Astyanax mexicanus: one gene and its partners. The protein of the gene in region 2 interacts with the protein of the main gene of each other region in a pairwise test. Links are inferred from orthologs where the notes say so. Each region holds a gene or a part of one and is shown on either strand. Other genes may lie near its edges.

The links.
Region 1: the proteins of myog (region 2) and txndc9 interact in binary tests that used the Homo sapiens proteins (3 or more experiments, as listed by UniProt). The two-hybrid records come from large-scale screens. The link is inferred for Astyanax mexicanus from reciprocal best matches to the Homo sapiens genes MYOG and TXNDC9.
Region 3: the proteins of myog (region 2) and cluap1 interact in binary tests that used the Homo sapiens proteins (3 or more experiments, as listed by UniProt). The two-hybrid records come from large-scale screens. The link is inferred for Astyanax mexicanus from reciprocal best matches to the Homo sapiens genes MYOG and CLUAP1.

Annotation. Positions count from the first base shown.
Region 1 is NC_064418.1:24,877,643-24,888,497, forward strand, and holds txndc9 (thioredoxin domain-containing protein 9), read right to left. Parts: upstream 4,115-10,855; 5' UTR 3,995-4,114; intron 2,722-3,994; 5' UTR 2,681-2,721; coding exon 2,495-2,680; intron 2,278-2,494; coding exon 2,159-2,277; intron 1,822-2,158; coding exon 1,567-1,821; intron 918-1,566; coding exon 797-917; 3' UTR 467-796; downstream 1-466. Other genes in the region: DNA repair protein REV1, read right to left, coding at 10,829-10,855. UniProt on the Homo sapiens protein: Significantly diminishes the chaperonin TCP1 complex ATPase activity, thus negatively impacts protein folding, including that of actin or tubulin.
Region 2 is NC_064431.1:20,020,929-20,032,550, forward strand, and holds the start of myog (myogenin), read left to right. Parts: upstream 1-7,183; 5' UTR 7,184-7,291; intron 7,292-8,029; exon of another isoform or gene 8,030-9,955; intron 9,956-11,622. Other genes in the region: zinc finger protein 205-like, read right to left, coding at 3,342-3,715, 4,551-4,708, 6,684-6,688. UniProt on the Homo sapiens protein: Acts as a transcriptional activator that promotes transcription of muscle-specific target genes and plays a role in muscle differentiation, cell cycle exit and muscle atrophy.
Region 3 is NC_064413.1:14,770,688-14,781,281, forward strand, and holds the start of cluap1 (clusterin-associated protein 1 homolog), read right to left. Parts: upstream 4,260-10,594; 5' UTR 4,179-4,259; intron 4,121-4,178; exon of another isoform or gene 3,972-4,120; intron 2,674-3,971; 5' UTR 2,612-2,673; coding exon 2,590-2,611; intron 1,277-2,589; coding exon 1,165-1,276; intron 1-1,164. Other genes in the region: wdr90 (WD repeat-containing protein 90), read left to right, coding at 5,682-5,694, 6,666-6,757, 7,090-7,266, 7,773-7,911, 8,238-8,408, 8,505-8,631, 8,943-9,010, 9,143-9,255. UniProt on the Homo sapiens protein: Required for cilia biogenesis. Appears to function within the multiple intraflagellar transport complex B (IFT-B). Key regulator of hedgehog signaling.

The DNA of each region.
Region 1 (10,855 bases), on a different chromosome or scaffold from region 2:
TACATGGAGTAAAATAATTAGAGGTAATTTGAACATTTCATAGAATAAAATATTCCTCTAATGGGCTAAATGTGCAAATGTAATAAAATACATAAAATAATGACATCACAGGGCTCATGGTGAACAAGCTGAACTGTCTGGTATGGAGCACATTTGTCCAAACATCTATGTTGCTGTAGTAACTGATAGAGGCTTAAGTGTTCCTTAATGGAACTGAATTTGAGCAAAATGACCCACGCTTGTCTCACAAAGCCCAGCTTATTGACTTTGCTTTGTGGACCCCCACCAGATCTCAGGTTTATTAAAACACAAGCAATTTAAAGTCTTTATTTCCTGAATCTGCTACACCATCAAGCTGGAATCAGTGCTGTCCTCTTGAAGCATTTCATCCAAAATTACTGACTACATTGCTTTTTGCAAAAAGTTACCAAACCCCTGCTTGCTGAGAAAAATGACAAACAATTAATTTCTTACATTTAAACAGTGATCAAATTTATTGCTTGACAGTCCAAGTTAAATCCTTTGAGATTTACTTACAATTAATAATGAATACACATATCTTTGTATACATAAAGTGTATACATTTACACATTTGCATGTATACATGTATATGTATGCATTAAATGTATACAAAGCTATATTCCATCGAAATAGTACATAATTAGTGTATCAAAGGAAAGTGATCATAAACAAATGTTAAATAACAAAAACAAAATGATAACCCAAGTTTGTACTACAAGACTTTGTACTTTTTTTGTAGAAAGCCCTGAGAAACAAAATGAGATGTTTGTCTTTTCTAATCATCATCAGATTCAGAGTCCGAGTCATAGCCTTTCCCTCTGATTGTTTTTTTCTCCACCTTGGTAAACTTTGATGCTGGTTTCTGTCCAATAGCAGGTGGCTCCATGATATTCCCACTGAAAGAACACGAGAAAACACAGTTTAGTACAGATGTGGTGGTGTATCCAGTCATAAAGAGAATACTAAAGCATCTATGTGATAAACGTGATGCAGAACCTAATCTCAAACAAAAGTTTCTACTATAAACCTTTCAATGAAATTTTAACAGAAAGCATTTCATGGAAATTTTGGCATACTTCTATTTTATGTTGTATGAGAAAAGAAAAACTGAAAAGAAAATGAAAACGATCCTCATCAGGTTTAATAGGGAAATTTGAATATAGGATTGGTGGGGAAGTCAGTGTTCTGGACAGCTGTAGGGTATATAGAGCACGTTCAATGTGTAGGGGTAATACACTGAACATGCTACCTACATGTTTATAACTCAGGGGAGGGGGTGGAACCAATCAAATAAATAGGGTAAACCTGAATATTGTTTAAATAAATTCTGTGAAACTACATAATTCCTGTATGGAGTATGGCAGAATCACACTACAGTGATATTGTCTTAGTATTAGGAGATACCTTGTAATTCTGACACCTTCTCAGGCGGGTAACTGAACACGGACTTTGGACTTTTATTTTAAACTCTGTATGGTACACAGAATTAACAAGGTGGACATTACACCCCCAAAACGTGTGTAAGGAAAAAAGTGGTTTATCTACCTATAGTTGATGATGTCTGAACAGCCCAGTCTCCACTCCAGCATTTCAGTAGAGAACTCGTCTGTGTTACCAAGATCGCCGAAGCCCACTACATAGTCCTTAGTCTTCCCATCTTTCACCAGAGCCAGCGTGGGGATGACTTTAATCCTGAGCCTCTCTGTTAGAAACGGAGCCTTTTCCACATTCAACTTGATGAACTTTGTCTCCAGATGTTTCTTTGCCAAGATGTGCAAGTGTTTGTCTAGAATTTGGCATCTTTAATGAAGAGATAAACAAGTTTATCAAATTTGAATAAAAAGTGTATTAAGATATGTATAGTATATTTAATATGCATACTTCTACTTAAACCTATAGGTTACCTCTCACTACTTATCAACAAGAGAAACCAATGCAAGTTTGGTTTTGTCTTAAAAATAATTTGTGCAAAATAATACACACAGAGATATCAAAATTAGTGTTATTGATGCCTTTTAGAAACATGTTCTATACCAAGCACAAAATAAAGTACACTTTAAGATTCTGTTTTAAGTAGAAACATTACAGAGTACAAAAGACCAGATTAAGAACAGAAGCCTGGTATAAACATACTAACCTGAAGGTGGAGTCCCTGTAGAAATGGCAGACCACACTCTTGCTTTCTTTGACCTCAGTAAAGAAGTCTTTCTCGCTCGGGATTTCTTTGTATTCTCCATGACCTTTAGATAGCCACTCCTAATAGAAGAACAGCATTAATAACATTTTACATTCTAAATTTTAAAGCTTATACTTATTTTGGTGTTTTACAGCAACAACTGTTTATTAAAGTGTTGTACATGGTTCTTTCAAGTAACTTCAAATATGTATTAAGCATGGTTTACCATTTACAGTAGATCAACATGGCATGCCAGTGTCTTTATAAAAACACAATATCTCCAACCATTGTGCCCACCTGTTTCTGTTTCTGGGCTTTCTTTAGGGCCTCCAGCCGCCTTTCCTTCAGACATTCCAGTTCATCCTCATCCATTCGCTCCAACTTATCCAGCTCAGCATCTAGCTGCTCCTCAACAAGCCGTGCTGAGTGCAGCATCTGCTGTTCCAGCGCCTTCGCTACAATCTCCATTGACTGGCTGGCCATTTTTCTTCTTCTTTCCTGGCCTTCTTTGCTCCCCTTTCTCTCTGAATGATGTAAAACAAAATTAAACTCAAGCTTATGCGAAGCTTTTGTTGATCAAACAGTTGATGTAGATGAAAGAACATTTTGGGCTTTTGTCTTTCATTTTTACATAATTTGAATCTGGCATTTGTTCTTTAAATTGTGTCAAAATCTCATGATAAATGGACCCGAATACATGATAAGATAAAAGCTTTTTACATTGATTTTTATATATTTGTTTGTGCCTTTTAATCGATTCAATTACATCGAACATCACTAATTAGTATCTATATTACTGATACAATAAATATTTTAATATGTTTATTGCTCGCATTATCCGCCAATATTCTGTAAGGGGTCTTTACTCAACATCCGGGGCACTGAGAAAGGCGTGTCCATGGAAACCGACCCTCTACAACAGGAGATGAAATGTGCTAATGTTGCTTCATTAACAGCTAACAAAATAAATAACTATTCTCTCTCATTATCTGTAGAAAACTGGAGGGTAGTTAACAAATGAAATGCAATTGAATGAACGGAGAGTTAGAGATAACGCAGACTATCTCTAACAATACACTATCCGCTAACAGGTTAGCCGACAAGCTGTTAGCTCTGTGACCGGTGTTCTGTCAAGTTCTGCTCCCTGTCAAACCGTGCTGCCCTAGTTCACGTTAAACTGTAAAAATACAAAATAATAGAACATGCTGGCAGTAGAAGTGTCGGTATGATATTTGGATAGTCTAAATTACTTTAACTGGAGTCAAGGCAATATATATGGTTAAAAAACACACACACATTATTTATATACGCGCATGCGCAGAGTTGCTAAGTAGCACATACAGATGGGTTGCACAACACGATATAACACCGACTCTTCCCGGCTCGGACTGAAACATGGAGCGGTCGGCCGGAGAGACAGCTAACGTTCGCTGACTAACGCCGTCAAGTCCCGCATTTAGACCCAGACACAACCTCCACCTGAACTAACCTAATTTACGCAACACCAAAACGTTAGTTCTTTAGGTTAAACTGAGCAAACCATAACAGCTAGTTCAGCTTAAGTTAATGGTGAACTGTGTTGTGCTAGCTAGACAAGTAACGTTAGCTACGTTAGCTTAGCTTCCAGGGTGCTTTACATAAAAAAGAAAGGCGAACAGGCTGAAGTTCCACGTTAACAAGAGTGTACCGATAGGTAATAAAATGAGCAGTTATACTATCCGTATAAAACCTATGTACTTCCAAATGTTAATAAAATGTAACTGAGCTAGTTAACCAGGGTTAGCTGCTTTAGCTTACCGGCGCGGCTTTCTGTGAGGCGGGACCGTGACGCACTCTCTCCGTCCGGCTACTGCGCAGATCAGAGCCTCAACTCGGAGCCTCAACAGAGCCGCCGGTTTATGGAGACCCCGCCCATGTCTGCCCGAGTACAGCAGAGTCCTGAATGAACTGAGGTGAATGGAGATTTTTTTCGTTTTGGAAAGTAGAATCAAATATTACAATATAGAACAAAATACCAGTCAGAATTATGGAGCTAAATTAGTGCCAAAACTATGCAAATAAAGAAAACGTATTCTGTAAATATGATACTATTTGCAAACAAACACGTTTTACAAATACAAAACGTACGTTAACTATCTAACACACAGGGTGTGTTTTACAAACACAAAACCTGATAGTTGTAAATATATATGTAAACTTTAAATAAATACACAGCTGTTTTCTAATACATTGCTCTTAACAAACAAATAACACGTTTTACAAATGCAAAAAGCAATAAATAAAACAAATAAAACATGATTTTCAAACATTACTGTGTCATGATTTTACAAACACGCACAGCCCATTTGTAAATCACGTGACTTTTGGCACACTTTTAGCAGAGTCGCAAACTCGTGTTGAGATTTTCTCACAAATACACCCAACCTCGTTTACAAGAAGTGGCTGCACGGCAAAGCAAGCTCTACTGTCCAGCGCTCCCCAGTGCATTAATTTACACCATAGACTGTGTATAGCTCAGAGACTGTAAAAAAAATATGGACGCCGTGTCGCCGTTCCCATTCATTCAATGAAAATGAAGCCAAAATCTTCCGCCATGTTACCGATCCTGATACCCGAGTCTGCGCAGTAGAGACAAGAGGAGGGAGAAAGACTGTGGAGAGACAGCCTACTCATTTAAATAACCCCGCCCCTGAGGGCTGCCTCGCGGTCACAGGCTGCAGAGCGGAGTGGAGCTGACGGTCTGTTATTGGCCCCGCCCATAACCAGCTCTTTTACAATAACCACACCTTTTTTGAATAGAGCTGAATAACGTTTTTAAAAACGAGTTCTGTGGGGATATAAATTTTGATAATATAAGCAGAGGTTACACTAGCTGTTGCATTTAAATAAAGGAGGTAGAATTACAGTATATCTAACCAAACACCAATGCAAAGTATTTCAGCATGAAAGCAGGTGTAACAGTGTCCTATGTCATAACTGGTAATGTTAACTATCATAACACGGTAATGTTTGAAAATCATGTTTTATTTAATGCTTTTTGTATTTGCAAAACGTGTTATATTTGTTTGTTAAGAGCAATGTATTAGAAAACAATTGTGTTTGTTTGCAAGTAGTGGTCGCTCAGGTGTTGCTTCGTAGTTGCCATGGTACCCTATGTAGATGGCTGGGTTTTTTTTAAATGTATTAGTATCATACTCCGATTTGAAGGGTGCCAAAATTTGGAAAACATTCTGCAAATCCGTTTTTGCATGGAAACAGTGTCTGATCAAAAAGCTGTTTAGAACACACAAGTACAAAATTAAATCGAACAGTTTGCAGTTGGGAGGAAAAAACACTGGGCCAGGATGTATGGCAAAAAAATCAACAGGTTATTAAAAATAGAAATAATAAGAGAGTTATTGTAGTTGTAATTGTAAAAAAAATGACTATAGGATTTACATATTCTCATGAAAAATACACAATACATGAAGGAATTAGTCAGAATTTGCAGAAATCAGTTGCAAAATGTAAAATTTGTTTATTGTGCAAACTGCAACGTATTAAAAATTACATCAACCTTGCCCCAGTTCAGTGAAATTGTGTTACTAATTAGCATTTAAAAATTTAAGGGGTTTCAATGTATGGATACCTGATTGTAATTTTGCCAAAGAGTAGTGAATGTATTTTTTGATACTTTTTATTAACATATAATTTGTAGAAAAATGTTGCATTTAACAAATCTGAGTTAGTTTATGGGCGGGGACACCCACAGGTGCTCCAGTCTTTGAGTTGAGCTCTATTCAGGAGAAATGGTGAATTCAATCAGTAATATGTGGTTTACTTCTGTATTCTGTTTTCTAAAGTCAGTCGTTGTAATATTTAATGCAGCTACTTAATGCATGTCAGTCAGTGAGGTCATTTTAAAAATGACTTAGCTGTAAACATTAGCATGCAGAGTAACATAGTATGACACAAATGTAAGGCATTTATTTTTATCCAGTTGGCTGGCCTAAATAATTATGAGCAGAAAAGAACCTAAAAAGAACTGTTAGAATTTGGTAAGTTTCTACTGTTCTAATTGAGGGCTGCTGGGCATTCCTGTCCCATGACATGTGGCATGTCAGTGTAATTTTGTTATTTTAAAGGACTTAAAATAAAAACTCTTTTAAACAGATGTCTTCAGAGTAACATAAATGAAATAAAATACATGTAAAATGTCAATTAAATTATTGCATAAATGTTCACCCCTTTTAAAGTGACCCATAAATGAACAGAGCTGTAGACAGTTGGTATCAGTAGTCTCACAGTGAAATGCAGATTAGCTGAGTAAGAAGGGCCTGTCTGGCTGTCTGAAAGGGCCATTCTCTGGTTCATCATAATGATAATCATTCTTTATTTACACTCAGGTTTACATTGAGGGAGGACCTCATTTTCAATGTAGTGTGTTTATCCCCCACACCCCCCTGAACTAAACCTGATTAGCTGAGAGGGTGATATGGGATGAGCTGGAGCTTCACAGCGGGAAGGCAGCGTTTGCGGGGAGAAGGAAATTAGTGACATCATGTGGTAAAGTACGGAACTGCAAGTAAATGCGCAAACCTATCCTCACGCATATTCATTCATACCGCATACATCAAGACAAAGAAAGGAAGAGTAACCCTTACTTGTGTAAATATATTTTTGTCTGCATGAATAAACTATCAATGCGTTCCGTGTCTTATTCTGCTTTATATGATCTGTATGCATTGGCGTAGGAACCGGGAGGGATATTAGAAACAGGTGGATTTGTCCCCCCCAAAAAGGATATCTTTTCGCTAAGCTCAGCTGTACTATTACTATTGGTTTTGCGTCGCGCGGAGAAGAGGCAGTGTGCTGTTGGGGAAGCCCCTCCCCCTCGCTGTGAGATTTAGCAGCGGGACCGGGATCAGCAGCTTCAGCTGATTTTAAAACAGAGATGGATATACGGAGATATGATAGCTGGTTAAAAAACACGTCTCTGAATCAGCACACAGTTTAAACCCACTGTGATTAATAAACTGCAGCTGTGTTAGTGGGTTAGCTTAACTTTGGAATTAGCTAGATTGGGAGTCAACTGTTTATGTAATGTTTAACTTGACCTGTACCTGATCAGCTAATCACCATTTCATTTTCAAACTGTGTTTATTAATTTAGCATTAAAGGACTTACTGTGAGCTATAATTAACGAAAATTAATTTAGCTAACTAGTTATCTAGAAGCCAGATGTAGTGGATAGCTGGAATTTAGTACAGTACTTTGTTTGTAGTTTAGAGCAGTTTCTTAACCCTGATCACTGCCCCAAAATTGTGCTTTCCACCTGATCCAGCTGATCAGCTAATAAACAGTCATTTACTGAGTTTACCTGTTCAAATCCTTTAGTCCCCTATGGAGCCTAAATTAATCATGTATATCCAGCAGTGTATTAGACACATCATACCACCACTAACTTTATTAAGTGCCTTTAAAGCAGAGGAAGCTGTAGAATATGCAGAACAGTGTTAATATTCAGTAGAATATGTAAGAACAGGGTTGAGAAATACTGCTGTAACGTGACTTCTGGTCATTTGTAGTTCACAGTAAGACCACATGTCCTGACGTTTATAAAAATCTCTATGAAACGTAAAGTTACATTCTTTTACATAAAAGGACACCATCTTACGAAGAGCTCTCAGTAGAAAAAAAAATAAAAGCACAGGAGAAAATGTAAATATACAACAGAATTGACATGCCAATACATAATAATAAGAATAAGCATAATAATAAACAATAATAAACAAATCTATTATTATGAATATTAGGTGATAACTAATCATTTTTGTCATATGTACATAATTCAGACATTGCTTGCATAATTTTTCTAACAACAGTAGCTGTAATGTGGAGTAACATGTTGAGGTTGTAAAATCACCTTATAATAATAATTTACTTTCAATTAAAAGTAATTTCCACAAATGTTGTTCTAGAAACTATAGGGTGGGCTTGGGTTCATATTGGCAAATGTGTCCCCCCAATATCAAGCTCACTCCTACATCCTTGTCTATATGTATGTTTTTATGCAAACTTGTGTATTTCAGTTTATTTAAATTCATTTACCTTATCTGTTTAGTTTTTTCCACAAATGTAAAATCCAAAGGTGATATTTATAAAGAGTATTATTATTATTATTATTAATATTATTATTATTGCTACAAATTATAATCCATTATAAAGAGGGAGGAAACAGCTGTACCTAATAGCAAAACATTACAGCTCTATGAATAGGCAGAAAAGAGTGATGCACTCAGTTATAATGGCGTTTTTGGAATTACTTGAATTTTGTGAATGATGCTGAGTGGTTAATTAACCAATTTAGGCTGGGCGCAGATTTAAAGAGACTAACTGAATCAGGCAATAAATGTCTAAATTACAGGTGTTTACAGTCATTGGGAAATGTGCGCAGATGTAGCTTGTGAAACTTCATTATTAACTGCTGCAGACATGTGTTGGCTAAAACCACCAAACCTCGACCTCCGAAACAAAGACTTCTATTTCACAGATCTCCAAAAAATTAGCTTTTTTTGCTGTGCGTTCCTCAGTTATCCCGCTCAGAATTAATGAAGAATCCCATATTTAAGTATTCATTAGTGATTTGCATGGACCTTTTATGGGTAAATGTGGGCGGTGCGGAGATGGAACACGAGGCTGGGTTACCTGCGCACATTTATAAGCAGGTTTTGATTTCTAAAAGGGAAACAGCTTTCAGGTATGCATACACACTAATTTTTTTGTGCGCACACTTCCACTCCAGAATCAACACAGAGTTTTATAAATGAGGCAAAAAATACCAGAGCATCCAAGCATCCACTACCAGACTCTGCAAAAGCTTCTTCCACCAGACAGTCAGACTCCGTAACACACACAGACAGAGCTGGATTGGAGTGCCTTAATTACTTCAGCTAAACGTCTGAGCAGAATGTTGAGGTTTGCTCTACATTCAAACGTGTGCAAAAATTGTGCATATCACACACTTCTGGTAAGTTTAAATGATCATTGGATATGTAACACTGCACATGGCAGTAGTCAGTATGATATAAAACAAGCAAACTAGTCTTGCATGAATTTAGCTCCAAAAGTTGAACAAGAGCAATTTATTAGCAAGTTTAAAAAACATACAAATGGTGTCACAGCTTCAGGTCTTCAGGCACAGGTCAGTCATTTGAGGCGGATTTTGCTGACCAAATATTCCAGGCCTTCCCTTTTGTATGGCAGAATAAATGAATCTAAGAGCTATACCGTGAGCAGCGCAACAAACCGCACCATATTGTCACAGTCACGCAAAACCCTGTATTGTTATTTTTTGCCATTTTTGACAGAATGTGGCAGTTTTTCTTTACAATGTAATCACAAAATTTAGACCATCAGTAATAATTCCTATTCAAATAAATATTTTTATGCAGCTGAAATATTTTTCTTTCTTTTAAAGTTGTTTTTTGGAGATGGGGAGATAAGGTTTTTGCGTGACAGTGACAGTATTCTAATCATATTTTAGCAAATATAAAAACACAACCCAATCTGCTTAAATTATGATTTGGTCTGGAAACTGATGACAAATCCATTTCTTGCCCATCCATAGTTCCATGCTGGTTGATAAACATAATTTTTATGACTTGTACAGATAAATGATAAGGATGATTTAGAATCTGAGGAGGACTTTGGCTACTGTGTAATTACAATTATATTATTCTTCATCTCGTTCTCTCACACATTTTTCCCCTCACGCACACATACTTACACAGAACACAAAATCTTGTAAACATTATGAACACGTAAAAAATCTTTAGAAATGTTGTGATCTACATAGACATTAACTATACTTATCTACATGCTATACTTACAAAATCTGGCACTTGAGTTACATACAAAATGCTAGTTTTTCAGATTTGCTGTTTAGGGCTGACCGATAGGTGGCAAATTTTCATGTCACTCCTTCCTTTGCTACCATGTTTGCCATATACTCCTGGGATCAAAAATGGAACTTGAACTGACAAATGCACAAAGAAAGAGGGGAGGAAGTACAATGAGGTGTTAAAAAAACAACAACAAAAAAAAAACAGGCTCCTGAAGGGCTCACAGGCAGTCCAAATTTTCCCAGCTTCCAAACATGATAAAAAGGCGTGATAGAAACAGATATAGAAAACATGGTCAGTAGGGGCAGTTCAGACAGTTTGTATAAACTAGCATGTAGACATCATGATGTTTGGCTTGGACGTGGTTGCTCTCAAAAGAGAGTGGGGAAAAAAACAAAACTGTCCAGTTCTGACCTGACTCGAGCTGACGCTATAAACAGATATCCTTTTGATACAATTTTGTGGTCATGCTACAAAAGTAATCAACTGCTGTTAACTCTTGCTGAAAATTTATGTCACAATAAAACGCTGCTGCTAGACCCCATTGTTGCAGATGTTGTATGTATCCATAGAAAAAGGCTTGGTCCAAGAAATCAAAGCAGCCACGCTACAGTAATAGGTAGATAGACAGGAGCAACCACTAGTGTTGAAGCATCAGCCGGATTTCTTTCTGTTGTCTCATGATGAGAGGGCAGCACTGAGCTGATATCACAGTGACAGAGGTAAGAACACACCTCCCAAAATGCCTTTATGTGATTTTCAGGGTGCTGCCATA
Region 2 (11,622 bases):
TTTTTTTTATGCTGAGTTCATAACACTCAGATTTTTTTGTTGTATTTGTAAAACTCAAATTTTTATTGAGTTATGGTTCGAACACTCAGATCTTTTTGTATTGGGTTCATAAAACTAAAACTAAATCTTTTTGTACTGTATTCATAAAACTCTTTTTGTGTTGTGTTTGTAACTGTCCAACCTTAAGTTAAGTTAGGAACATATTCCACACATTAATCCAGCTTCACTGCTTCTAATTTATTCCTCTTATATATTTTGGGTTTGCAAAATTCTCTTTTTGATCCAGATACAAAAAAAAAACAAAAAAAAAAAACAGAACAGAACACTCTAAGACTGGAGGAACACGCTTTTATTTTCTATTAAAAAAAAGAGAAGTCACAGTGTACAATAACATATAGTAACAACTCAATTTAAAGCAAACTGAATGAAACGCACAGGACAAAAATCAATCAAATATTAAGAAAAGCTTCACACAATGCTACAAATAAATAAATAAAATAGTTTTCCTATGTAACTAACCTTTATTAGTGTTATAATATTTAATCATTTCTGCACCCCTTACACAGTTCGTTGGTCACACAAATGTCTTGCGGAGGGGAAAATGAACAAACGTGGCAAAGAACAAAAAATATAAACAATAAATAACTATCAAAAACTAATTTGAACTGAAAAGCACTGAGAGTTTCGCAAATATTTTTTTTTACACTTTTCAGCCATGCACTTACATGCACATCATAATTCGATTACTGAAGAACATCCGAAGTTGATCAGAACAACAGTCTGATCATCGCATTTATATGTACTTTTTTTAAATCAGATAATGGGAAAACTCATAGCATTCACCTCAGTCAGCCACTAATCAGATTTTTTCTTTGTAACAGAAGATTAAACTCTCAATAATTAATAAGGTGTGATGTAAACCACTTGAAACCCAAACTTTATGTTGCAATGAGTCGCAATTTACACACTGATCAGCTAGAAGATGAAGAAATATTTAAATCCTTCATATTAGATCAGTTTCACTCAAACCTTAAACCTTTTAACGTTATGGCTGATTGGTGCATCTTGTAAAAAAATGTTTATATCTATTTAATAGTTATAATAGTTTTAGGGTTTTGTTAAACCTCTAAAATACAGAATCGAAAGATTTAATGCAGGGTTTGGGCGATATGGCCAACATTTATATCACAATATATTTTTTATAATTTCAGTCTGATATTAATTTGAACAGTATGAAAGCCACAGGTAAACTGGAAAAAATAAAAATACCGGCCATAACGGATGCCCTATAATGAAGGTCGGTCAGTGAATGATGCTATAAATAATATGTAACAGTATGTATAAATATCAGAAAAGTTAAAAAAAAAAAAAAATAAAATGTAATAAAATTCAGTAAAATGAATTAATATTAAAACAGATTATATAACAATCTATATTGATACTGAATTACTGTCCAGCCCTAAGGTTTGGTCAATGTTACCGTAAATAAATAAAAGCTACATTAAGAGCTCACTAGCTAGTCATGTTTGCATATTCAAGTTTTTTTTTTCCAAAGTTTAAAAGGTTCAAAGTTCTAAAAGTTCCTACAGCTATTTTGCTTAAATTAGCTTTACATTTAAATTCAAATTACCAACAAAGTACCCATCAAACTCAAGAATACTTCATGTCATTGAAAGAAATAGAAGAAATCAGTAACAGAATACAAAACAGAATACAATTGATGATACAGAATTATAAGCACACTCTTTAAAACAAAGTAAAAAATATATATAAATTAAGAGCTGGCGCAAAGGGTTCTTTTGATAGGTGGCACAGAAGAACCAGGATTAAAAACATATTAACATAACGTAAAATACATTAAATGTACCATTTTGAAGGGTTTTTCTGAAACCTTTGGGCCTCTGGACTTTTTTAACCTTTACCTTTTCGCTTAACCTTCAATAATTAATAATAAATAATAATTCTTCATGCATTCCATTTACAAAAACTACTTTCTAAAGCAAAGCTTCTCATACCTTTTACAGTCAGGAACTCGTTTTTATTACATAGATTTTTCATTAAGTGATAAACCCTAGAAACCACCTGAGATACAATAGTAACCATCTAGTAACGCAAGTGAAACATCCTGAAACCTGGGATACAGTAATAAAAAACTGCCTGGAACAAGTTGTTTCTTTTGGTTCTTATTCAACCAAACTTGATATGGGTTCCAAAAAAGAAAAGAAAAAAAGAAAATGCAGAACCTCTAGCTACATATCATGGACCCAACTTTGCTCTGAAAACCACGGTTCTAAAGAAAAACCTTTCAAAGGGTATTTAGTGGTTTAAGGCCACTTTCACACCTACCTTGTTTGGGCCGAACCAACAGAGCAGGTGTGAAAGAGCAGGTGCCAAGAACCACCCAAATTTGGTCTTACCAAACACTGATCGTTTTGAAGAATGTAGTAAGTTCGGTTCTTTTTTTTCCAGGTGTTGTGTTCTGCCTCACTTTGAGTGCTGGCACATCCTGTAGTAGGGTTAATAATCTAGTTACAGTAGATACAGAAATCACCAGCATCATCTGTTGTACTCAAATTATTCTATTATTTAATGGGTGACAATAGCCTCACTGTCTCACTGCCAACAAACTGGACCATCAATCAATTGATTCGCCTCTTTGAATCTCCAGAACATGGTTTATAGAACCTTTCACAGCTTCTATTTGGGTTTTGACCAAAAAGAAAAATCTGAGCTGTCGGATTGTGGCAAAGAAGCAAAATTTGGCAGAACATCTGCAAAGACAACTGGCCAAATTGACAAAAAAAATGCTGCTGTGTGACATTTATTTTCCTTCTACAAACCAATCAATGTCATGTATAGGGAGACTCAGGTTCTTTGCCCATGTAGGGGATGACAACAAGACATGTCAAGGTGTTTTTTGTTGGGTTCAGCCACTAGACACAGTGTGAAACCAAAACTAATTGCGAAAAGAGCAAATTAACCTTGGTTTAGACTTTGGTCTGGACCTTTAGGTTTGGAAACCTAAATCGCTCTGCACTTACACTGGCAAAACAGTGGTCATCAAAAAAAAGGTGGAGATATGGAAGTTTAAATACGATACTCAGCAAACCGAACACAGTTGATGAAGTCTGTGTTGCTGTGATGCGAAGATGTTTCTGGGGAGGTACATGTTAGGGGGCAGCGTAGGGTTGACGGAGAGTCATAAATTGGCCTTAAAAAGTGGCTCTCCTAAGGCAAAGCATTAAGATCTCTTGAATTTAATATTAAGAATGTAGTGTAACTATATCTAAAATTCTACAATAGAGGAAGATAAAAACTAAACATCTCCAACATGCCTCCCGCTACTCAATCTGCTCAGTCTGCTCCATCAGATGAGCTTTAACGTGTCTGTTACACGCGCTCCGGTCGCTGTAGCGCTTCCCGCAGGTGGGGCAGCTGTAGGGCTTTTCTCCGGTATGAATCCGGAGATGAACGCTGAGGTGGCTGGATTGTCGGAAGTTCTTATCGCAGAAATGGCAGTTATACGGTTTCTCTCCTGAGTGAACCCTCAGGTGAATCTTCAGCAGAGCTCGTGAAGTGAAGGTCCGCCCACACACCACGCACAGATTACCGTCCGATAGGCCCAGGGCTTTCGCTTGACTTCCGTACATTTCCAGCGATTCCGGGTCGAACTGCTTCATCTCCTTGCTCATGTTCCCCGAGCCCGGCAGGAATTCTACATCACAGAAAGGAAAACAACTTCAGCACAGTGGCAATAAAACGGACACTTTTTCTTTCACACTTAGCCAAAAGAAAAACATAAATGTAAATGTAAAAACAAGCATTCTTCCTGAATATATCCAATTGTTAGAAACTTGTCACATTTTTTAAACACATGCCCATATTTTTTTTCTCTCTTTGTCACTTGCATTTGTCTGATGTCACTTGTATTTATTAGTCATGTTCAAAAAATATTAATATATTTGGAAATATTCAAATTTCAATATGGTGCTATGATTGGTTTGATAGTGGTTTGAACCCAGGTCATGCTGCTTGCCATCAGCAGCCAGAGTCTGAGAGAGCACAAAAATGTTCTCTCCCCTCATCTCCACCAAGGTGATGTCTGTTAGCTGATGTAATGGAGCTGGGTTGCTGTGCTTTCCTCATGCATGCTGGGTACCCAATATTGCTACATCAATGGCAGTTGGAAAGGAGGCGGTGGCTGATTTCACATGTATTAAAGGAAGCATGTGCTAGTCTTCACCCTACTAGTGTTGGAAGCTGTACTAGTGATAGGACTAGTGAGTAGGTTGGGTAATTGGCCTGCCAAACCAACACTTCATAGCATTTTTACCTTTTAGCTTAAGTGTGTAGTATACATTTTGTTTTAAAAGAGCCAATAACAAAGTTTTATTACAAAAAATCTTCTTTGGCTTTACTCCGAGAACCTTTTTGTGTAACATATTTTTACACAAAAAAATGAACAAAACATGCAACTTAGCCAGGGTTTCCTAAACATAACATGCCTGTATCTGCTGATACTGATATGATTACAGCATTATTTTACTTACGTGTTGGCAGGCTTTCGTCTTCGTCCAGGACCACCACCACGTCCGGACTTGCGTCCTTTTTTCTCAGTGCTCTCGGATTATCAGTCCTCATCTCCAGTTTCCGTTCTCGTCCAAGTCTCGGAAGTTTGTTTATTCCGCGAGCACGTTTCATATGCGATCTAAAATCAACATTTGGTAAAACTCATTAAAATCTGTTGCATTAACACACATTTATTAAAATTTGACGAGAGCAGTTCCGGTAAAACTGTAACCCTTTAACTGCCACTCTTAGTATTGACACTTATATTATACTAGCCCAGGAGTCGCTGCACAGTAAAACAATGCACCACCTTTTATGTAATTAAAAAAATATATATATTTTGCTGCATCCCAAGAAGAAAGGCATATTTGGCAACCCTTAAACTACCAATCTCAGGGATTTAAATGTATAATTCAGTAAAAAAATATCTTAACCAGTTTACAGTGAATGGCTGAAGTTGTAGCACATTTTTGAACAGAGGACTAATGATGAGATATGGTTCAACAAAACCAAGTTTATTGCATTTTTACGCTACAAAATTGAATGCAAACAAAACATGGTAGACAAATAGACAGGTATGTGTAACATCACCCACATATGCAACTAGATAGCTGCTGTCAGCATACAGAAATGTACATACAATAAGCATGGAGAGCACAATATTTCCCAAAAAACTGGTTGCCGTATGATATGTAGCTCCGCCCATCTCTAAATGTTTCAGTGGCAACAGCCCCTCCCATTTTCCATCACATTTTTTCCTCTAAACTGTCTTTTCATCTCCATTGTTTATGACAGTTGGGTCTGGGACAAAGGGGCGGGCCTACCAAATGAGTAGGCGGGTCTGGCTCCGCCTCTGGTCTCTACTGGGCAGACTCTGGTAGCAAAACCGACAAACATGGAGGACATTTCTGGAATCATTTTTATAAAATGAAATATGACAATGAGGTTATAAATATTTAAATACATTTATGTAGGACAACAAAAAAGATGGTCACACAATGAGTAAAATAACATGACGAGCTGTTTCCTAGCATTTCCATAAATTAATAAAGAATTAAAGTTTACAAAACTATAGACCTACCCATGCCATATTTGTTTAATTATCATCTTTGCTAGGATAACTAAACTATATTGCCAAAAATATTCACTTAGAACACACACAAACTTTAATAATCTTTAGGGTTTAACATAATGTTGGCCCACCCTTTGCAGCTGTAACAGCTTAAACTTTTCTGAAAAGGCTTTTCACAAGGTTTTGGAGTGTGTTTATGAGAATTATAGACCATTCTTTCAGAAGCGGTTTTGTGAAGCAGATACTGATGTTGGACGAGAAGGTCAGCCACTCAGTCTTCGCATTAACTCATTCCAAAGGTGTTTTATCCGGTTAAGTGCAGGACTGGAACAGGAATGGGCCAACACCAAACTGTCTGCACTTATCTCTTGGTCTTTTGAAGCAATTAGGAGTTCCTTTCTATTGAACTAAGGTGCCGAGCCTAAATACTGACAAATAACGCTATACCATAATCCCCCCCCCAACCAAACTTTACACTTAGCACAATGCAGACAATTTAGACAAGTACTGTTCCCCTGGCAACCACCAAACCCAGACTCGTCAGACGGAGTGTGATTTGTCACTTCAGAGACCAGTGTCGGCATGCTTTACATCAGTGTCCAATGCTTTGCACTGCATCTTGTTTGGTGATGTAAGGCTTGGATGCAGCAGCTTGGCCATGGATTTTTTTAAATAAAGCTCTCTACGCTGTACTGTTCTTGAGCTAATTTAAAGGCCAGTTCAAAGGTCTGTAGTGATTGAGAGAGAGTGCAAAATGTTGGTGACCTGTGCAACCACTGACCCTGCTCTGTCATTTACATGGAATTTACATCACTGACAGGTGACTGTGAAATATTTGATAGTGAAGAAATTTTACGATTGGAATATCACAGCACCATGCTGAAATTCAGTGAGCTCTTGAGAGTGACCCATAGGCAGAGTTATATGTTTGGCAATATAGTCTATCTAGTAACTACCGCAGTTTCTATTTTGCAGATACCATAATCCATATAGTCATAAGATACACTGAATTAAAAAGTGATATATTACTGCATATGATTACCTCATTTCAGCCGTCTTTTTAAGGGTGGGCTTCTGAACCAAGCAATCAGTCCCAGAAGACAGAGCTGATTAACTGGAGGCCCTGAAAGATTTTCCCCTCAAACTAACTGTAAAACAAACAGAAAATAAATTAATTATATATAGTTGACAATAATGTATTAAATTACATAAATTATTTTGCTTATTATAAACAGCATTTCTACCTGCAAACATTGTTAAAATAATCAGGCTGATCAATTCTGATCTGGCGAGCCTGTGTACTCACAGCTTGGCGATATATTTTCACTAAATGTATTAATTCATAAATTAATTAATTGAATTAGGTGAATTAATGACTTAGAGCAGGAAAATAGCGAAACTGTGGTGAACTAAAGCCCATTTCACACATGCATAATCAGGCACAAGTGCTTTGTGTGTGTCTGGAATGGAAATTTGAGCTACAAGTGTTTTTTTTGTCTGTATATTTCTTAATTATCCTTTATATGTGTGTTTTGTTTTCAGCATTGGTTGGTAAATAGCTTTCTGCTCTGGGACAGAAAATTACCAGGCTGAAGTGACTGAAATGCCCAAATTTGCCCATGGTGACGTGCGTCACAGACTCTTTAAAAGGTATGTAAAGTTGCCTACAGCACACTGTCCGCCATCTCAACTCATGGAGTTCCTAAGTGAAATGTACTGAACATCCTTAGAGCATCTGTGATTCTTCATGTGAGCTTATTTACAGAATGTAGGAGTGCTGGTTTAGTGCTGGAGATAAAACTACATTAGCTAATTTGTGTGTAAAATGTATTTTATGCTTCTTCAGGTCTGTTTTAAAACATTAAGCACATCAAATGCTTTAATTAAACGGTTAAATTCCTTAGAATTAGTTATGATCTTCTATATAACTTGTTCCTAGAGCTCTGGATTCCTAGAAAAAAGGTTTAAATGCAAGTTACTGCATTTCTGTGTCATTTATATTTATATATTTTAGGATTTTAATCTAAGATTTTAATAGACACTCACAGCACCCGTGAATTGGACTTTAAAAAGGCTCTCTAGACTTGTATCTGGTGACTCCTGCTCTTTTCACTAAGCTGCTGTTTTTTTTCCACTACTCAGACCAGGTTTTTATTTTTCCTGTCTAACCCGTGACACCCGAGTAAATGTGTAAAGATCATATTTTATGGACAAAAGTATTGGGACAGCTACTTATTATTCATTGTTTCTTCTGAAATCAAGGGTATTAAAGAGTATACTGTATATTGCTTTTGCTGGAGTGACTACTCTACTATCCATACTTTACTATATTCACATTAACAGAAAGCATTAAATAATTAACAAAACAAAACAAGAGTGGTATCTTACATGTGTTGTCTGTACGCGGCAGGGGGCGGACCTCACAGCTGCCTCCTCAGCTGATACCGATGATGTTTGATGACACAATCAGAACCGTGCTGTATGCAATAAGTTTACACTCCACAGCGCATTTAACTTTATATTAAGGTAGGGTTTAATTCAAAATGCAGAGCTGCAGCTAGTACATTGCTTGGAAAGTACAAAGCGGTCCCACTTTGATCACTTCCTAGTTTCCATAATCTACACTCTCAACAGGGGTTGGACAATAAAACTGAAACACCTGAGAACCGTCAGGTGTGGGAGTGGGAGGTTTCATGGCTAAATTGGAGCAGCTTGGTGGCCAATCTTCATTAACTGCACATTGCACCAGTAAGAGCAGAGTGTGAATGTTCAATTAGCAGGGTAAGAGCACAGTTCTGCTCAAAATATTGCAATACACACATCATTATGGGTGACATACCAGAGTTCAAAAGAGGACTAATTGTTGGTGCACGTCTTGCTGGCGCATCTGTGACCAAGACAGCATGTCTTTGTGATGTATCAAGAGCCACGGTATCCAGGGTAATGTCAGCATACCACCAAGAAGGACCAACCACATCCAACAGGATTAACTGTGGACGCTGTAAGAGGAAGCTGTCTGAAAGGGATGTTTGGGTGCTAACCCGGATTGTATCCAAAAAAATAATAATCCACGGCTGATCAAATCACGGCAGAATTTAATGTGCACCTCAACTCTCCTGTTTCCACCAGAACTGTCTGTAGGGACAATCAATTATTGTGGTCTAAAACCAGGTGTTTCAGTTTCATTGTCCAACCCCTGTATTTTTTCAGCTCGACTTAGCATACAGGACACTTTGTAGTTTTATAACTGCAGACTGTAGTCTATCTACATATATCTGTTTCTCCGCATACTTTATCCTCCTCCTTTCACCCTGTTCTTCAATGATTAGGACCTTCATCAGTAGTCACAGGACACTGTCCACAGGACAATGCCCAAAGCTTGCTGTTCTTGGACTATTCTCAGTCAGCAGTAAAACTGAGGTGTTTTACTGCAGTGCTGAGAGTGACTCACCATTTAAATAATATTTACTAATTTTATATAGCTGACTATTACTACTACAACAACAAAAAAAGAATAAGAGTGTTACCCTAACCCCCAGGGCAACAATGTTCCACAAAGCTACTGAAATCAGGGAAAATATTATTGATACTTTATTTAATCAGTAAATGCAGAATTAAAGACAAAATCACAACATGCAACAATGCAATGTAAAAGTCGCTGAAGGACACTTTATCCTGACATTCCATAGAATAGGAACTAGTAACGTCACCATCCATCCATGCATCCATCAGCTGCTTTCAGTGAAATTCGCAAATTCAACAAATTCAACAAAATTTGCAAATTCAACAAATTCGCAGACTGTATTAACTGGTCTTTACACAACACTGCAGTGCTGTGCGTAACAGTTTTGTTAATCAATAGACCTATGCTTCTTCTGTGTTGCACTGTTCATTAAAATCATTCTATACAGATTCCACTCATTTAGACAACTCAGAATTTTAGTTAAAAATGTCAGATTTAACAATCTCTGGGCTCGGACTTAACATGCACAGGATCCGGTAGGGTCGGACCTGACTACTGCTGGCTAGTGCTCAATTGTGTAGGTTTAGTGTCCTTTACCTGGCATCCAAAGTGAGGAGACGAAGCAGACAACTCTCTAAACTGAGTACAATATTCATTCTACACAAAATTTAACATAATCTGAATTTAAATTCAATACACAACAGAAATACAAAAGTGCCAAAATCTTCAAGTCACAACAACCACCCCTGTTTTACATTACAGAGTCAACACTAAATACAAACTGTGACTCTACTGCTAACAGCAAAAACAGAGTAAAGACAGAAGATGCGATTGCATTCAAAAGATTACCAAATCCAGTTCTACATTCAGTTAAGCGGCATATGAAACTTCACAAAGCAGTTGCTCTGCCTGGTGAAACAAAGGTGTACATTACATTTCATGCACAGAACTCTGGGTATGCCTTTGCATCCAGGAAATTTGCATCTTCCTTTCTTGCCACTCATGGTCGGCCAGTGTGACGTACAGTCCAGGCGAACGTCCGAGCACCGGGCAGACGCCGGGCATCGACTGTGCTCTATTTGGGTATTGTCTATGTGCTCATTTCCTTCCAATTCATCCCAATTTTGCCTGTAGAGGAATCAGCATGTCACCAGATTCTCCTAATTATAGCAAAGTTTATTAACTCTACCAAATGCTCAGCACAGACAGTCCGGGACAGAGTTGAACATTTATTGTTGACTAAGGCAAAGGAGCAAAAATAATGCATGTATTGCAGCAAAAGTTGGCTAGCAGTTTTGTTATGTTTCAAGCAGGTATGTAAATGATTACAAGTGCAGTCCGAGTCTCAGAAATTACTTTTAGGTAGTATACCTCTTGGTAAAAGATCCAACTGTGTTTAATCTTGTATCCAGACTAGAGGCGGAGCAACATTTACATACATACTATACTGCCAAAAGTATTCGCTTGCCTGTAATGTGTTTGGTGATTGACCTTTTTTTTTTTTTTTTTTTTTTACTTCCGTGTAATATGCCCCTCAGCATCTGCTGACCCCACTCTCTACATGAAGCCTCTAGTACCACATACAGTGGTAATTTATAACTAAATTGTAGGGCTGGGTATCATCAGTGATTTACAAAATCGATTCAGATTCACAAGGCCCCAATTCGATTCAATTTCTGATTTAATTTGAATCGTTTTATTATTGATTCGTTTGGAAATATTTCCATTACAATTACAGGTTTTGTTCAGACATGAAAGAGATTTTTTGAGAACTAAAGTTGTAATTGTACAACTATTATTAAACACATTATTGTTTTCATAAAGAATTAAACCAAGACAGTACCTTAATGTACCTTAAATGTCTCATTGAAGGTGGAAAGGAAAACAAAGGAAAATGCTAATTCGTTTAACTACTCTAACAAGCTCTATTAACATTGGTTCCGAGAAACAATACAACTTGTTAGCTACTCTAAAACTACAGCATGTCTAAACCTGCCTCATTTAAGGTGGAAAGGAAAACTCGCATTTACCGACTCCTCAAATTGCTAGTCAAGCAGGCTCTAATAAAATAACGTGAGAGAAACAACAAAACTTGTCGCTAATGTTAGCTTGGCATCTGTAAATCTGCATGTTTTAAAACTGCTGGTCTAAACAGGCCACATTTAAGGTGGAATGGAAAACTAAGGAAAAGGCTTACATATTTAACTAGTCTAGAATGCTCTGGTAACATAGACTGAGAGAAAACATAAAACTTTCTGCTAACGTTAGCTTAGCCTCTTTAAAATTACAGCATGTCTTACAACTACTGGTTTAGACCTGCCTTATTTAACGTGGAATGGAAATCTCAGGAAAATGCTAACTCGTTTAACTAGTCTAGAAGTTTCTGGTAATATTGACTGAGAGGAAACAAAACTTGTCGCTAACGTTAGCTTAGTGTCTGTAAATCTGGAGCATGTTTTAAAACTGCTGGTCTAGAAGGGCCACATTTAAGGTAGAATGGAAAACTCAGGAAAATGCT
Region 3 (10,594 bases), on a different chromosome or scaffold from region 2:
AGGGACTTTAAACTCCCCTAATCAAGATAATGTAGTAGTACTGAACAAATTCAATCAGCTATGGCCATACAAATGAACAAAACATTTTGCTCAGTAACTTGTCACTCGTTAACACACACTTACACACTCGCAAGTGCTGTTAAAGGAGAACTCCAGTGTGAAATTGACTTTGAGTGTAGTAAAACATGCTAAAGAGTACTAACCTTTGTTAAATAGCTCACATCTGTTCTCCTGCAGCTTTCCGAGATCTAGCAATTTTGTAGCAATCTGCATCTAGCAGTGCAGTTTGTCCAAACAGGCTAGGTTTTAACGAGGCATATTTTGCCCCTGCAGATAAATCGCTTTTTACACTGTTATCCAGGCTCAAAGTAGCTCCACACCTCAGTGAAAGAATCCGGAGAGCCCTGACCTGATCAAACGAGGCATAAAGAACTTTAAAAGTGCACAAGAAATTTATAAAAAACATGGTTTACAACCCGTAGCATAACCAACATCTCCGGATGGAGCGATCTTAAAGCAAAGTCATGATCAGTAGAGTGACGAGCACGTAATGTTGAAACCTGGAAAGGCACAAACCTGAACCATTCTGTCTTCTTTTCCCTTCGCCTTTTCCTCTGTTATGCTGGCTGAAGCTGCAGTCTGAGCACAGCACACATCCTGGCCACGTCTTTCTCATGTATACAGCATGTACTTCTGTCAACATTACGTGCTCGTCACTCTACTGATCATGACTTTACTTTAAGATGGCGGCGCCTGGAGATGTAGGTTAAGCTACAAGTTGTAAACAGTGGTTTTAATAAACTTCTTGTGCACTTTTTAAAGTTCTTAATGACTAATTTTAAATGTCAGGGCTCTCCGGATTCTATCAATGAGGTGTGGAGCTACTTTGAGCCTGGACAAAGGTGTAAAAAGCGATTTATCTGCAGGGGCAAAATATGGCCCATTAAAACCCATTCCAGTCGGTTTGGACAAACTGCACAAAATTGCTGGATCTCGAAAAGCTGCGGGAGAACGGAGTTGGGCTATTCAACAAAGGTTAGTACCCTTTATATTTTTTTACAATATCAAAAGTCCATTTCAGACCGGAGTTCTCCTTTAACTTAAGTTGCTAACACATACACTCTTACAAACACATACACACAACCAAAGAGATTAATGTGCAACCTCTTAACAAGCCAGATGAGTATCTCTGCCACTAAGGGAAAATTGGGAGCCCTGAAGTTCTCCATGGAGATGAGTCTAGGGTATCCCAAGGCACGCATCATTTCTGTAAAACCTGCAGCAACAAACAATAACACACAAACTAGCAAACAAGTGCTCACAACAATGCATACATAAAGCTTTATTAGTTCATCAGATCCAAGAAATCATCAATAGAATGCACATGACTTTCTTTAGGTTTACCAAAAAACTGGGTTTAACGATAAGAAAATACACTCACACAGACTACACATTTGCACATGCTCAGATGCCAATATTTTAGATAGATAGATACAATTTTAGGAAAAGGCTTTGAATTTAACTATTTGGTAATTGCTGTAAACACCTAAAAACTATCCCCCCTTGATCTGGGTATCTGGTGCTCTCTCTCCTATTATGTTTGCTTGGCAGGATAAATATTTCGAGAATTAATATTTTTTCTTGTCTTTTTCTTGCTACCAAACATGCGATTATATTATTGGTCAACTCAGGTTTAACACATTATAAGCAAGTGTACCAATAGGACTGACTCATTACAGGTTAAAATGAAGTCCATAACATTCACTCCCTCTTTTACCATTTATTCATAATGTGAAAAGTTGAAAAGGGTCTATGATTCTTTTGGTATATCCAACACTCTGCTGATTTGGAAATACCTAACCGTTTCTTTTGGTCTTCCCCATTTGCACTTAATCCAAAATGTCCCTCTCAGTTGCATGAGACAGGATTCCTTAACTGGTTTAGTCAAGGAATCACACAGATTTCTGTTCTGTTTTCTGGGGTCTTGTTGCATTTTTGGAATATTCTAAAGAGGTATAGTTTTTCCAGATATCTTTAAATTAGACATTTCCTTACATCTCTACTATATAATGGGGGTTGTGAATGAATCTGACAGGGAATACATTATGTTGTCAAACGAATCTCTGTCTTCTTTGCTAAACTTGAAGGGTATTTGACAGAAAGATTTGGAAATGGAATCGGAGCAAAACTTATGGGATTCTGCTTGTGTAAACCTTTATCCCCAGTGTACTTCAATTTATTTGCATGAACTTAATTTTAAGCCTGTGCAACCTAAAATGAAGTTCATGCACAGAATCTACTTATTACCAGTATGACTACACAGGATAGATACAGAGAGATCAGATCTATGTTTCACTTGCCAGACACAGAGGGGCACATTTGTTCACTATTTTTGGACCTGTAGCAAAGATTTAAATATTTTGGGGGGAGAAGGTCACTCAGCAATTGAGGACATTTTGACACAAGGTTTGCTATGTGCCACTCATTTTGCATTGTGCCTGTTGAATGCCATTTTTAATTTTCATTTTAAACAGGTTTTTACTTTGTTGGTTTTTATAGCAATAATTTGATATATTTGATCATGCTTACTTCTTAGATCTCTGAAAGACATGGTTGCCTTTTCTCCTTTTCCAAATATCTCTCTACCAATAATTGAAGGCTTTCCTCAGTCCCCTATGGAAAAAGACAACAACAAATTTAGTAACAATTTGAGCCACTAAGAAAGTATATCCAGTCTTGGAATAAAATGAAGTGTAAAAAGGGCAGTTTCCCAAACAGGATTTATACCTAATCTAGGACTACATAAAATTTTGATTTTGTAGATTTTACATCAAAAGGAATATATAGTCTACAACTAATCCATCCTAATCCTAGTACATCTGAAATACCAGCTCACATAGAAAATGATTTTGCACTTAAAAATGTTTCTTACAGCCAACTTATATACATTAGAGCAAATTACACAGAATAACCACTACTTTGTTGTTCTAAAAGAAAATACATTAGCTATATTTTTTTAGTATATTCCAAAACGTAAATAAATAAAAACAAAATACTTAATTATCTAAATAGTACACCTGTAATGGTACACCTTTTTATTTCTGAGATTTAGGTTTCATACACAATAAACTATATACATTTCCTTTAAGAAATAAATCCCTTTCTAACATCTCAATTTCATATTTTTTGAATTGGAACTCTGGGTCAATGTAAACGTCCGAAATCTATATATGTGCCAATGCCCATATACATATTTATAACTTACAGAGAGACTAGACTACACACCCTGACTACACACTACACATTTTGATTTTACTTTTTTTTTCTTTTTTTTTTTTTACATGTATTTGTCTAACTGGTCCACAGACTGTTCACAGCTTTAAACCCTCTTTTTAAATAAGCAGTTTAAATAGAACAATAGATCAATTGAAACTTGAAAATGACTAAATAATAATAATAATAATAATCATCATCATCAAAAAATGCTTAAATCAACTAACGTTATATAATTTTAAAGTAACTTAGTCGGCCCGTTGTGGTCTTTTTCCAGCATACGATAAATATATTAATAAATATAATTAAGCACAATTTTAATATGGTGACAGGCCTAGGGGGAACATTTATGATATTAAATAACCTAGGTTACTGTTCTCATTATTCATAAAGGATATTTAGTGTGGCACTGTGAAGAGGCAGCAAGCTTAGGCGTGTTAACTACTAGTGTCCCCAAGCTATCCAGCCTAGATGTAACGTTAATAGCTAGATGTGGGCTACAGCTATAAAACAGCGATAACCTTACTGAAACTTGGTCTGTTATTTGCTAACTAGCTAACCCTTACTCTCTAGTAACTTAACCCAACTCTCACAGTCATTGTCTTTAGTGTATATATTTCTTAATACTCAGAGTCTAAACTGAATTAAAACGTTAGCTTAGCTAGCTAGGTTCGATTAGGTAAGGTTAGGTTGGTTACCTGTTAGCTTCACTAACGGTTATCAGATTACCTGGGCCACAGTTTGCTCGTAAGTGCAGATATTAGCAGCATTAGACTTCTGCTCGTATTTACTCATTGTATCAAAACACAGCCAACATAGGATATATATTTAGCTCTTTTTTTAGTAGTTAATCCTGTAAGTAATGTTTAAAAAGCAAATTTATATCTGATAATAAACACACATACCCAGCGTCTGCGGCCCAGGCCGTCTCTATGGCAGCGACAGTGAGCTACGGCAAGCGCAAGAGGACAAACTGACTGGAAATCATTTACCGCAAAGCAGAAATTCTCATTTTAGTAGAACGGATTACGGAGATTTCATGGGATGCAATGGTAAAAACACGATTTAACAATGAAAAATATAATCTGTCAATATATATATATATATATATATATATATATATATATATATATATATATATATATATATATATATATACATTTGTTTTTTTAAGTTACTCACACTTTAACTACCAAATCAAGGGAAGTTTCTGCCTGTGAGGAAAGGGAACTTTTTGATATTTTTAAGCTATTAATCAAATGTTTCACTAACTATAGACTACTTAAATGTTAAAATGCCCATGCTTCGTAATATTGTTTTATTTTTATTTTATTTAAATATATTTTATGTTTTCTTAAAATTATATAGTAAACTAATTTGATCATCAAAATTCAGCAGGAAGAAGCTTTTGCATTCAAAAATGTTTGCACACTTTTATTTATTCATTCAATATTATGTGTATGTACACATTTATACGCAGGTGTATGTGGGTGTGTTTATGGGTTTGGACTGTATGTGCTAGAAAGGGGAGTGGGAATAAAGAGGGTTTATTATTTTGTTTCTGTTGTTTTTGATGTCTCTATTTTGTAACATAATACAGAAAGATGATAACAACAATAACCACAACCGCAAAAAAGAAGTATGCACCCAAACTGTGTTTTGGTTACATTTTTTGGCAATATATATTGACGCATATACTGTGTTTGTTTTTATCAAAGATGTGGAATGCTATTTGATGCCCTTTTCTGGTTGTAAACAGTAATCTGTTAAAATATGGAACCTGTGCTCTATTTTTGGAATTTGTATGTAATTTTTACTTTTTATTGTTTGTATTTTGCTATGCCTTCTTCCCTCCAATCCAATGTTTCTGTAATTATGTCGCAGTAATATAGTCACAAATAGCTGTACATTTGTACTAGTGTTGTACTAAAAATAGATAATAAAAATAAAATAAAAAAGCTCTTGAAAATAAAACAGTGTGAAGGTTAAACATGTCACTGAAACTATAATGTAAATGGTGAGTGTACATCAGTGTATTAACTACATTACCCAGTATGCCTTGCGGGTACGCTGCGTAGTGCCGTTTGAAAGCGGCGGCTGCTGCAGCGGGAGGAGACCTGAGTCTGACAACAAAACATGAGCAGCCGGAGCGCAGAGAGAGAGAGAGCACTTTAACCACTTTAACAACACAAACAAACTTCTGCGAAGGATATGAAGCTTCCTGAGACATGAAGGATTTTAGTTTAAAATGTGACGCTGGCCTGGAACGGAGCACATCAACAAACAAATAGATATATTTATTTATATATGCTAACTGTGAAAGTTAGAGCTAACTCAGCGCTAGCGTCTGTGCTTTTAGCCTGCTGATATCAACCCATTTACAATCTGCTAATCTCGGTCTGTTTACAATGTCCTCAAAAGGTAAGACTTACACACACTGTTAGTTAGCTAGCACTTATTCTAAATAACTAATCTAGGTTGGGTATGCTGCACTGTCAATACAAGTTAGCTACTGTCAGCAGAACCCTCATCATTTAACTTGCAGTGAACATAATGATAACTGCCTAGATAACCCAGCCAGGTAAGTTAACTAACTAGTTTATAGTAGGATGGTAACTAGCTAGCTACTGAAACAAATATAAAAAAAATTGTATAAATATTTACGTGCATAATGTGTATGTGAAATCAGATATTTACATTATGTCAACATTTCCTGATGAATAGATCAATGGAAATGCTTAAAATTACTTGAAATCAAATCTTTATACTTTATACAAGTGAGACCTGCAGTTCTGTAGATATTGTTCTGGGTTCTTTTGTGGCCTCCTGGATGAGTTGTCCATGGCCTTTTGAAGTAATTGTGTAGGTCAGACACTACTGAGAAGGTTTAGCACTGTTCCATGTTTTCTCCATTTGTGAATAACAGCTCTCCCTGTGATCCACTGAAGTCTCAAAGCCCTAGAAATGACATGGTAATCTTTTTCAACTGATAGATGTCAAAGTTTTTTTCTCAACTGTTACACAATGATAACTGGCTAGATAGTTAGGTTAACTAGTTTACAGTAGGATGGTAACTATGGCTAGTTAATGAAACACCTGCTGGATGGAATTAAATAACATTGTGTAATGATTTATGTTCGTAATGTGTATGCAAAATGTGTTCTTTACATTATGTCAACATTTCCTGTTAGGTACCTGGTTTATATACAGACCAGAGTCTCACTGTACTTTTTGAATAATCTTTTTGTTTAATTTCTATATAAAATACAATTAATTGAAGTACACTGTATATACTGTTATTCCTGATTACGTAATCTTGAACAAGTGAATATTGATATCCTCTGAATCTCTTTTTTTCTTATCCTCTGTGTTTACATTGTTTTTCCTTCTAGCATGGCAACATCCTTATGTTAATGTCTTTAAGCACCTAAAATTGGAGGAATGGAGGAAGGCCAGCAAAGAAGGCGATGTTACAACCTACATGGTAAAATTCTACTGTCATATCAAGTGTTTATGTCTTTCAGTGAAGTAACATCCTATAACTGAAGGCAGTGGATATCAGTCTAACGCAAGAAATTGAAATCTAACATCAGACAGACGTTGAATTTTAGTTGAAAATTACAATGAAGCTGTTGTACAGACGTTAAATTAGGATGCAAATTAAATTTGGTACCTCAACGTCATGACTTCCATTCAATAAGAATACATCATACATTCGTCTGTCATTATTGGTGGTCAGCTGGGGTAACACATTGATATTGTTGATTATTGATTAATTTAATTTTTGTTTTTTGTTTTTTTGTTGGTGTTGTAAAGGACAAGACTCTGAAGTGTTCGGTGTTCCGTATTCGCGGTTCCATTCCAGCCAGCAACTATATTCTCCTGCCCAGAACCAGCAGCCAATCACTGGGGCTCACAGGCCGTTACCTCTACCTGCTGTTCAGACCCAGCCCCAGTAAACACTTTGTAGTGCACGTGGACATTGCTTCTGAGGTGAGAGTAATGTAAAAAGGAGTAGTCAGAGAGCATTATAATATTCTAGTGCTGGGTGATTTTCATGATTATTTTATCGTTTTCATCTAAAATATCCGAAAACGCTACTCATTTCTGAAGTGTTTATCCATCTTATCTTGGTTATTGGCGCCTCCAACAGACTAACCCGCGCATATTTTCTAAACATTCCGCCAAGGACTGAGCTCCTACCGTAAATCGTTCCAGCACTGTTTCAGCACTTTTGACACAAACACCCGGTGGAATAAAGCCTATATTTAGCTAGAATTAAATCCTACCACTTCTAAAAACTTCAGGGTCTTAAACCATTTTCTTTAGTTTGATTTTTAGTAGGGGGAAATTATAATTGGAAAAAAAAAAAAAAACGTTTTTTTTTTTTTTTTTAGACCATAATCGCCCAGATCTATAATATTCCGTGACTAATGTGAGTTTAGGTAGATGAATAAACAGTGAATTAACTGTTTAACTTCTTTTTTACTCTGGTTCAGGAAGGTCAGGTGATCCGTGTATCGTTCTCCAACCTGTTCAAGGAATTTAAGTCTACGGCAACATGGCTGCAGTTTCCCTTCCTGTGTGGAGCTGCTTCGGGCTCTGTCTATGAAACCACAGCCAAATCTGCTAAACATGGTAAACACTACCTTTCGGAAGAAATTTGTTCTTTTCTTACTTTGTTTATTATTATTTTTAAATGTGCTAAAATTAATTCATAAACACACGTAATAAAATCACTTGCAGTAGCAAAGAAAATAATTGGAGACATGATTGATATATGTTTTTTATTAAGTTAATAAATTAAAGGATCTTACTTTATAAATTTTTTCTCTTCAATAATTTAATTACATTTAATCGTGACCAAGTTACACTGATAGAACGTCTGGGCCCATATATAAGTTTTTGTATATTTAACAGTGCTTTAACAGTCCACACTGCTGTGGTGTTGATGTGTGCTTCAGGTTTGGTGGGTCCAGCACCGGCGTCTGTGCGCTGGACATGTCTGATGATGGACCTGCGGTATGTGCTTTCTGTCTATCTAAACAAAACACACAGTCACCTGAAGAGCATCAAACTCTGTTCCAATATGACGGTGAAAAACCTCAAGACTAGTGACCTGCTGCTGGACCCAGGTACTCTTAATTAAAATACTTTTCTTATAAAGTAGTTTTAAACACAATTTAACATTGTAACTCTTGCTCTTGCTCTCTTACGATCTTTCTTTGTAGGCCTGTCGTTCTCAGAGTTCCGACAGGCTGGTGTGATGTTGCCAGAAGGCACAGCCCCCATGCCCAGAGAGATGTGTTTCCCTGTGCCTAAGGGCAGCAGTTGGCATCAGCTCTACGACTACATCAGGTAAACTATACATATAATTCTTTAATACAACACTCTTTAATTCAATTAATTTAAATAAAAAATGATGCTACAGAAGATCCATGTTTAGAGCCATAAAAAGCTGCATCTAGCCATGGTAGTGTTTTTCTAAGGTACAAGCTGTACAGGGCTAAGATAGTCAACTAATTAACTAACTTAGCATTCAGTTTTTCTGTCTTTCTGTGGTCTCGATGTGACTTTAATGCCATGTGAATGTTCTTCACATTCCTTAATATGACTGTGCTATTAAATACATGGAAATAATCCTGCACAATCCTGCATATTTTTCAAAGGTTTCCCACAGATGGTGTGAAGATGCCATTTGATTCTATACAGAAAGGCCTTACCAACCAAACTCCAAGTGAGTGTTACAAATGTACAGTTGCGCTGCACTAGACTTAAATAATGCAGATACATGATACAAAAAAGGCTTGTTAAATATCTGTAATTTGTCTCTTTCTCTTTTTCTTCATCCCTTTTTTTCTCTGTGTAGAAGAGACTGTGCTCATTGAGAGTCCTATTCGAGAAGAAAGTCGCAGTGTGAACTTGAGCAAACCTGTGCAGGACCGCGTCTCCCTCATCCAGCAGATTACCACACCCAAACCTGTCAGTGAGAGAGTGAATAGACTGCTGTTTAAAAGAATTGCTGTAGTGTTGCTTTTTGCAGAATCCCTGCACTGTAAAACCTAACTGCATTTCCTGCTGAACAAATTAAGTTAACATAATTTAAATATTACAGAAACCTGGCATCACTTATGCTGATAAAATCGAACTAACCCAAAAATAATGTGCTGCCTTCTTGCATGTATAGCAAGATTTATAGCTCTTTAAAAAGTGTTTGTTTAAAGTGTTTGATTGGAGTTAGTGTAACATAAGTAATTGAAGGCAATCAGGTTTCCTCAAATTATAACTACAGCCTATTTATTTTACTTTAATAGTTGTAAATTAGTTATCTTAAGTTGATTTGTCTAAAAACAGTGAATTTAAGTTGCATTAAGGTGTAATGAATTTCTGTTAAGGCAGACATACTTAATTTTATTGAGTTGTTAGTCATCGAAACGTCTTCTGATGCACCAACTTGGACACATCATCAGTGTTGTATCCTGGAGTCACTGGGCGTGACTCCCTCATCCACGCGACCCGACCGAGGCTGATCAGACCCCGGCCTGTGTCCAAGTGGCAATCTGCTGCCCCCACCTCTCACCGCTCTTTAGCTAGAGCCACCTAAATGCTTTCTTTGCAGCCTCCGCGTTGCTATTGATGGCTCTTCTCCGGTTGGCCCCTGTTATGCCTAGTGTGCCATAAGCCTTATTCAGGGAATAGCTGACAAACCCCCGACTGCCCACTTCCACTGGTATACATCTAGTCCTCCATCCGATCCTCCGACAATCCTCCACCAGCTCATGATATTTTTCCCTCTTTCTCTCCTGTGCCTCCTCTATTCTATCCTCCCAAGGTACCGTCAGTTCCAACAGGACCAAGTGTTTTGTGGCTTCAGAGACCAAGATGATATCTGGTCTTAGTTTGGACTGGGTGATGTGTGGTGGCATTTTCAGCTGCCTCTCCAGGTCAACTGACATTACCCAGTCTCGAGCCGTGGATAGCAAACCATCAGAGCATCTTTTTGGTGTTCTCTCCAGCTTCTGTCCTTCTTTGAGAAACTGAATGGCTTTGGCTTTGGCTTTGGCTTTGACTCTGGTGCATCGACTGTCCTTGATCCCCTTACTGATTGCTTCAGCAATGGATTTAAGGACTTGATCGTGTCTCCATCGATAGCGGCCCTCACTTAATGCTGTCGAGCAGCTGCTTAAAATGTGTTCCAATGTCCCTATTTTGGAACACAGAGAGCATTGAGGCGTTTCCATTTTGCCCCAGGTGCACAGGTTAGAGAGGCTTGGGAGAACATCGTAGACCCCCCTGAATTAAGAACTTGATCCTATGCTGG